2 linked regions of the Saccharomyces cerevisiae S288C genome follow. Changing the gene in region 2 together with the main gene of any one other region gives a genetic interaction. Each region holds a gene or a part of one and is shown on either strand. Other genes may lie near its edges. The genes, in order: ADE16 and PMU1.

The links.
Region 1: of PMU1 (region 2) and ADE16, extra expression of one rescues a mutant of the other (dosage rescue), as found in Saccharomyces cerevisiae (one study listed by BioGRID).

The regions. Positions count from the first base shown.
Region 1 is NC_001144.5:198,790-203,595, forward strand, and holds ADE16 (bifunctional phosphoribosylaminoimidazolecarboxamide formyltransferase/IMP cyclohydrolase ADE16), read right to left. Parts: upstream 2,527-4,806; coding exon 751-2,526; downstream 1-750. Other genes in the region: 60S ribosomal protein eL15 RPL15A, read right to left, coding at 3,187-3,801; YLR030W (uncharacterized protein), read left to right, coding at 4,501-4,806.
Region 2 is NC_001143.9:200,384-203,819, forward strand, and holds PMU1 (putative phosphomutase), read right to left. Parts: upstream 1,389-3,436; coding exon 501-1,388; downstream 1-500. Other genes in the region: phosphoglucomutase PGM1, read left to right, coding at 3,158-3,436. UniProt on the Saccharomyces cerevisiae protein: Probable phosphomutase that may have a function related to the manipulation of phosphate groups on carbohydrates. Reduces trehalose-6-phosphate levels when overexpressed in TPS2-deleted cells.

The sequences.
Region 1 (4,806 bases), on a different chromosome or scaffold from region 2:
AGTCTCGTGCTAGTTCGGTACTATACAGGGAAGGGAAGTCACTCGCATACGTGTGTGTGCATTTCTTGCTATTGCTGCTTAGCTTCTCTAAAACACTGGGCTAGCGTTTTTCAACGCTCGAGAGGCAGAGTCTCAAGGAGCCTCCAATGGGCCTCACGTATTCATCTAGATGGCGCTTCGGACAACGGCATCACATAAGAGATGCAGCTCCTGACTTCTCCTCTGATCTTCGTGATCAGAGTTTTGAGTCGTCAGACTACGAGCAGTTTCTCTTAGTCGTTGCATCGGGTGCTGTTGCCTTAACGATGTGTATATGGGGTTCGGGGGCTGTTGCCATGATATATATGGATGAGACAGAAGTGGCCCCGTTGACGAGTTTAACTTAGATTAAGTAGGACGCATGATCTTGAGCTCTTTTCCTATACTTTGTCCTATGGCCAGCTTTCTCCTTATTACGAAGAGATTGCGGGATGTGGGTGCAGAGTGGGAAAATCTGAGTTCGGTCATCTTTGTTGTTCGTCCTACCGCAGTATATTCCTAAACACTATGAAATGACCCTAGTTGGTCCATGATCATTTGGGTAAAACCATACTGCAGACATCTCTATAATTCACATATTCACATCTTGTCCTCTCGCAGAAGAGGAAGGCCTTTGACGTAGAAAATTAAGTAAATCGTATACGTTTACGTATATACACTTGTATTCAGCTATATATGTTGTTTCTGTTCTTCTCATAAAATGTACCCTACTTAGTGGTGGAATAAACGAATTGGGTTCTCCACGTAGACGATATCAAATGAATCCGCCGCTTGGAAGACAACTTTGTCCATGACAGACCCCGAAGGAGCCGTGATGAACTTTACACCAGACTGCACAGCTCTATAAACGTTGTCTGGGAAGGGAAAGAACGCATCGGATGATAACGATACATTGTTTAATTTGCTTAACCATTCTAGTCTTTCTTCTTTGGTGAAAGGTTCAGGGACTTCTTCAAATTTGCTTTCGTAATCCACCTTTTCCGGGCCTTCTATTCTTTGCCCTGTAACAAAAAGATCAATCGCATTCGACTTGTCCGCTCTCTTAATTCCCTTGGCCCACTTCATGTTCAAAACCTTTGGATGTTGTCTCAACCACCAGTTGTCCGTCTTGTCACCAGCTAATCTGGTACAGTGTATACGCGATTGTTGGCCGGCCCCAAGCCCCACAACCATACCATTCTTTGCGTAGCAAACAGAATTTGATTGTGTGTATTTTAAAACCAGCGTAGCAACAGTTAGATCGATAACGGCTTGCTCGGTAAGTGCTTTGTTTTTGGAGACAATTTCTTTGAAAGTGGATTGGTTTATGATCGCATCGTTTCTCTTTTGTTGTAACGTTACGCCAAAAACCTCTCGGGATTCCATTTGGCCAGGAACATAGTTTGGATCGATTTGTAAAATACAGTATTTTCCGTTTTTCTTCTTAGATAGTATATTCAATGCCTCTGGTTCATACCCTGGAGCAATAACACCATCGGAAACTTCTTTAGAGATGATTTTTGCAGTGGCGACATCTACAATATTGGACAATGCAATGAAATCACCAAAGGATGACATCCTATCTGCACCACGGGCCCTAGCGTATGCGCATGCCAATGGTGATAAATCCTCCATATCATTCACAAAATAAACTTGTCTTTCCACATCGGATAATGGAAGTCCCACAGCAGCACCTGCTGGAGAAACGTGCTTGAACGATGCTGCCGCAGGCAAGTTCAATGATGCAGATAACTCTTTCACTAAGGGCCATGAGTTCAAGGCATCCAAAAGATTTATATATCCTGGTGTACCGCAGAGCACTTTGAAGGGCAACTCCTCCTGCTGAGTGATATAAGCTTGTGCAGGTCTTTGGTGGGGATTACAACCATATCTTAGCGGTAATTGGGCTTTCCCTTCGGAGTACTGTTTCCTGAAAAAGTCAGAAATGGCCGCATCATAATCGGCCGTATGTTCAAACGCCTTAAGTGCAAATCTATTTCTTAAATCCTGAGAAATTTCACCGTCCTTAGACAGGTCTTGCAGAAAGATAGAATAGTCATTAGGGTCTGAAAGAATAGTCACTCTGGAATGGTTCTTTGCGGCTGCTCTCAACAAAGTCACACCGCCAATGTCGATCTCCTCTACAGCTTCTTGAACTGTAACACCAATTTTAGCCACAGTTTCTTTGAACGGATATAGATTACATACAACAAAATCCACCTTATCAATGTGCTGCTCTTTTAAATCTTTTTCATCGCCCTCTAAATTTCTGGCAAGAATACCTGCATGCACAGCAGGGTGAAGAGTCTTGACTCTACCCCCTAGCATTTCTGGTGCATGCGTAATTGAAGAAACATCGTCGACCGGAAAACCAGCTTCTCTGACCATGTTGGCCGTACCACCGGATGCTAGGATACGAACATTGTTCTCTACCAATCCCTTGGCTAAGTCTAATAAACCTGTCTTATCATAAACTGACAAGATCGCAGTCTTGGTATATTTGCCCATTTTTAGCTCTTTTGTTTTTTGTCCCTATTTATGGTATATTTGGATTCTTTGTTTGGAATGGGGTATTGATTAGATCTTGAATGTTATCTAATCGCTAAAAAGAGCAAGAAAAAAACACAAATGCTGAAAACTGGAAAAAAGGACGATCTATTTGCCAATTATTAAGGCTTATTCTTAAAGTGGAAATAGCCCTCTCTTTTGCTTTTCTTGAGTTTTATCTAATGGCTCTAATAAGGAAAAACGGGAAGAAAAGGAAAGAAAAAAAATACAAGAAAATAAGGTGCGACTAAAAAGAACATGGTGTTAATTTATGCGGCGGAGAAATTTACTTGAGCGTAAAGATATTATATATAAGTATTATGGTAGTGCCACCACCTATGTAAGCTGCTAGCATTGGTATACGTAGAACAATTAGGACTCCCTCGTCCGCTCCTTGATACAGGTAGATAAGTTCTGCCTGAGGGGAGGATTGAGAAGAGGGGGTAGGGGTTTGCTTGATAGCAGAATAAAAGTACAGCTCTAGGTCTATAAAAAAAAAAATTGGTTAAAGAAAAAATATACAGGTTTGTATATAGAATCATTAATTAAAAAGATAATAGTATAAAACACATCAGATAAACAAAAGTTTGCCCAATAAAATTATATTTTCCATCAACCAGCTTATTTTCTGTATCTCCACAAGGACAAAGTGTTTTGTCTCTTCCAGGTCTTTCTTCTACCAGCCTTGGTGTTGTTGAATTTGTGACCCTTGTTGATACCTCTGGATTTCTTACCAGTGGCAGTCAAACCTCTAGCTTCACGGTGCTTGTGAACTGGGTCACAGATCCAGTTGTAACGAGCATCTCTTCTGATAGCCTTGTGTTGAGGGTCGACCAAGATAACTTCGAAGTACTTGTAAGTAGAATCTTGGTTAACCCAGTAGGAGTTCAAGACTCTCAAGTTAGCGGCACGACGACCAACTCTTTCTTCAGCGGTAGCTCTCAAGGATCTTTGGTATTTCAATTCATTGACACCTTGGTTAGTTGGCTTACCGTAAGTAGCACCCTTTGGAACAGGTCTCTTTCTGTTACCACGTCTAACTCTGACACGGTAGATAACGAAACCTTGCTTAGCTTTGTAACCCAATCTTCTAGCCTTGTCTGGTCTAGTTGGTCTAGCGGCTCTGTGAATGACATTCTTTTGTCTGTATTCCCAGACTCTGACTCTTTGCAAGAATCTCAAAACATCAGATTGCTTCTTTCTTTGCAATTCTTCCAAATATTTGTAGGCACCCATTGCTGATTTATTTGTTTGATCGTGGTTTTCTTAGATTGTAAAAGAATTACTTAAGGATAGGGAAAGAAACGTGAGAAATAGCAGTTAAATGTACCGGTGGTAAAAATGCAATGCCATCATTCTTTGTTACCAAGCAAAAGTGAGAAATCTTGAAAAATTTTAGCACCTTTGAAAATTTTGCGTCAGCTCCAAGAAATTTCAGAAAATATATTCGACAGCTTTAAATCCGTACATTTATCAAAAAAAGAATATAATATCATGTTTGACGATGTATGCTATGTAAATCATGTCATAATACGCATCAATTGATACTACAAATGCATCTCGGATAGAGACATTGTCATGATAATCGCAACACATGTCGCACCTGGTGCATGTTCTGAACCTTAACACTAAATATTTAAACGTCATGTAGGGTGCGAGTCCATCTCATTCTTGCCCAATAAATTTTAGAAACACCCTCTTATGAAGGGCGGCAAAACATATTAAGTAAGTGTCGATTGTTAAACACTTCCCCTTTTTTTATGCATAGTAAAAGGTACAAAGAAAATAGCGTACCGTCCTTAAATCAATATAGAAATATAATGAAAAAATAAGTGCTTTGATAAGAATATCTTGAATACAAATTAAGAAGTGTATATTTATAGATATTTTCGTTTCAGCTTGTGTCTGTGTGTGGCCTTATATGTAATATATGAGATGGAAGGTGAACAAATTATGGAGTATGTTCAAGAGACACCGATCATTCCAAAAAGGATTATCCATTATTCGATTCCAAAACAAATGATCACAAAGCCCGCTCCCCATGTCGAGATGACGTTGGTAGCTAATACTTTTCGGGACATGGACTTGCCGCAGCATCCGGTTATCCATGATTGTTGGCAAAATAAAGAGTACTCAACTCAAAGATATTCAGGAAATGTGGCTCAACAGAGATTAAGTTTTGAGGAACATCCAAATGAAGAGTGTCAAAATTCTGTTGGGTTAATCAAGAGAGTGAGTACT
Region 2 (3,436 bases):
TCAGTTTACCTTTAGTTAGAAAAGCGATGGAGCTAGCATCTTGCTACTATATAATAGTTGTTCAAGATCGTAGGTCTGCCTGCCGAGTGATTAGGGGAGGCTACTGAAGTTTGTTTTAATGTACCGGTTACATTTTCTTGTACGAAAGTATATGAAGGGGGCTTATTACTTCCAAGCCTATATTTTCTGTGGCATCGATTAGTATAGTATAAAAGAGGGAGTGGACATAGCGGTGAAAACTATACAAGAATAAAAAAGGAACTAAGAACCCTTTGCATTCATATAATTTCACATATGCATTTTTTATTTTATACTCAAATGTATGTTCTCACCTAGCTTGAGAAAGCGATGATCAAAGTGAAAGGTTCAACCATTTCTCAAAGTGCTTAACACATTATTTGAAAAGAAAGGGTTTTATTCCATCCACTCTATTATATCTATAAAAAATTATTTAAATTACCCACATATTTGAAAGTCCCGAATGGGCGCTGTGGGAAAATTCAGAGCCTGCCGCGATCGGCCGTGTTGACTGGTACTTCCACGACGACAGCGACGACTTTACCTGTGTCCAGGTTATAAATTGGAGGATGCTGTAAGTTTCTCAAGACACTTTGAATGACACCTGAGTGACAAGTAAGCGAGATGAATTTTTCTTCGCTTGACAATTGATTAAATAGTTCAAATAATCCATTCAGTGTACGTTTGTCCATTTCAGCACACGTTTCTCTATGATCAGGAAGCCACAATTCATCATCTTCTGGGTAATCTGGTACATATTGCCAATGTACAGTGTGGCCCGATTCCGTGCTGAAATCCTGGTATTCGTCAACTGCCATTGAGTGAGCCACTCTTTTGTCACAAGTGTGAGAGCCCAACGTCTCCCTTAGACCTTCTATAATGCGTGTAGAAATTTTAGTTCCGGCCGGTAATTCTTGCGTCTCCGCTAACACTGGTGTCCACGACTCAATGAATGTTTCGAGACATCTTCTCATTGGAGAACTGAAAAACACATGAGGTAGCATACCTAATTGCTTTGCCATTGGTAGCAAGACATTCGATCCTGTTCTTCTAACTTGATCTTTACCCAGAGGTGTCAGTTTAGAGTCAAGCCACTCTCCATGTTCATCGCCCGAAAGCAACGACCAATAGGCGTCCCATTTCTCCATACCGTACCTCAGTATGGCAGCATTGTGGTAACCTTGACCATGCCTAGCTAAAATCAACAGCTTATAGTGGCGATTTTTGGTATTTCTAGGGATAGCATGATACAGTTCCTTCCAATTCTTATGGTTAATCAATTCTAAGTGATCATATTTCGTGGAGTCTAATCCTTGAAAACCCTCACTTGGATATGCAGCAAAATATCCTGGGACTGCTCTGAGTGACATTGTTGAATAACTGTTGGTGATTTCACGCAGCAGAGTCTTGGAAAGAAATCGTTAAATAACATACAAATCTCTCGAGGGTTTTTTTTTGCAAATGACACTTTTTACTTTTTCCAGTACTAGCTAGCACCCGAAAAATTAACTTGACTCGCACATGCCTGCTGGGTCATATCCGAATCTGCAAGAAATTAGGATTACAAATATTTATTCAAACGTTGCACAACCACGCAATAGAAGATAATATCTGTAAATTTTAATCGCTTTCATCTGAAAACACTGAGCCTCTTCTTAATTTTCACGGACTTTTTCGCAGCCCAGGTTTGACCGGCTAAGTACGAACCTCTTTTGTTTGGAATAAGAGTTTGGTATTAATCAATTGTTGGTACAAAAGATTAATAGTATTACTTGTGTTTTCAGAATATAATTGTCCGTGAGCGTCCTAACTGTCATCGAGTTTATAGGAAGCTAATTAGTAAGGACTGACCATGCAAACCCAGCAATGAATGAAAGGATATAAACGAGGGAAGAAATGGTAGCAGTATTAAGTAAAATTGTCCATTTCCCCTCGTGAAATTATCCAAAACGCGGCAGAAGAACTTTTAAGTTATCTACTGTACATAGTGTTATTGTCCTCACGTGAATTGAATTGAAACTTTTTCAGAACATTATCGCTGAACTATAAATGAAATTTTGTAATGATTGTTCTGATCCCATCTTACTAAAAGCATTATTGTGAAGTATAAAATACAATAAATTTCTTCTCAAAAAAACTTGCCGTACATGATATGGAGAAATAGGTGAATTTAGGGATAGTAGTTATTATAATGAGCCTATTATAGAGAATCTATTATCGATTTCTAACGGTCGTATCAATCTGTTGTATTACGGGCTCGAGTAATACCGGAGTGTCTTGACAATCCTAATATAAACAGTCTTAGGGAAGTAACCAGTTGTCAAAACAGTTTATCAGATTAATTCACGGAATGTTACTTATCTTATATATTATATAAAATATGAATCATACTAAGTGGTGGAAGCGCGGAATCTCGGATCTAAACTAATTGTTCAGGCATTTATACTTTGGGTAGTTCAGCTAGGGAAGGTCGGGTTTTGTCTCATGTTGTTCGTTTTGTTATAAGGTTGTTTCATATGTGTTTTATGAACGTTCAGGGTGACGTATTGTCATACTGACATATCTCATTTTGAGATACAACACAATCACGTTTAAAAGCCTTGTTGGCGCAATCGGTAGCGCGTATGACTCTTAATCATAAGGTTAGGGGTTCGAGCCCCCTACAGGGCTTTCTTTTTAAAACAGGATGCTAAAGCCGACACCGTTCAAACACAAGTGGCAGCTTTTCTCGAGAACAGCAATGCCCACAGTTTTATTTACAATTTTACACTATTGACGTGGAGATTTTTTTATCCCGCATATGACCTAGTAGAGGATCTCTGTCTTCCCCTGATAAATGTCAAATGTATGACGTTACCACAATTGTATCACGGTGGTTTCAGTCTGTCATGAGGAATAAGGGCATTCAGTACCGACAATGCTATACTTGTAAATAGAAAAATGATGTTCTAAAATCGGCATTCTCGCTATTTGAGATTTTGTCTTTTTTTACCTGGTATTTCGCGTTTATATTACGGATGCAAGAAAAGGAGAAGGGCGCATCACATCGATTTTGGTCTACCTATAAACATTCTCTCTCTCATCCACTTTCGGTTCAATAGTGCAAAAATAGGTAACTAACAACTCAATTGAATAGTAAATGTCACTTCTAATAGATTCTGTACCAACAGTTGCTTATAAGGACCAAAAACCGGGTACTTCAGGTTTACGTAAGAAGACCAAGGTTTTCATGGATGAGCCTCATTATACTGAGAACTTCATTCAAGCAACAATGCAATCTATCCCTAATGGCTCAGAGGGAACCACTTTAGTTGTTGGAGGAGATGGTCGTTTCTACAACGATGTTATCATGAACAAGATTGCCGCAGTAGGTGCTGCAAACGGTGTCAGAAAGTTAGTCATTGGTCAAGGCGGTTTA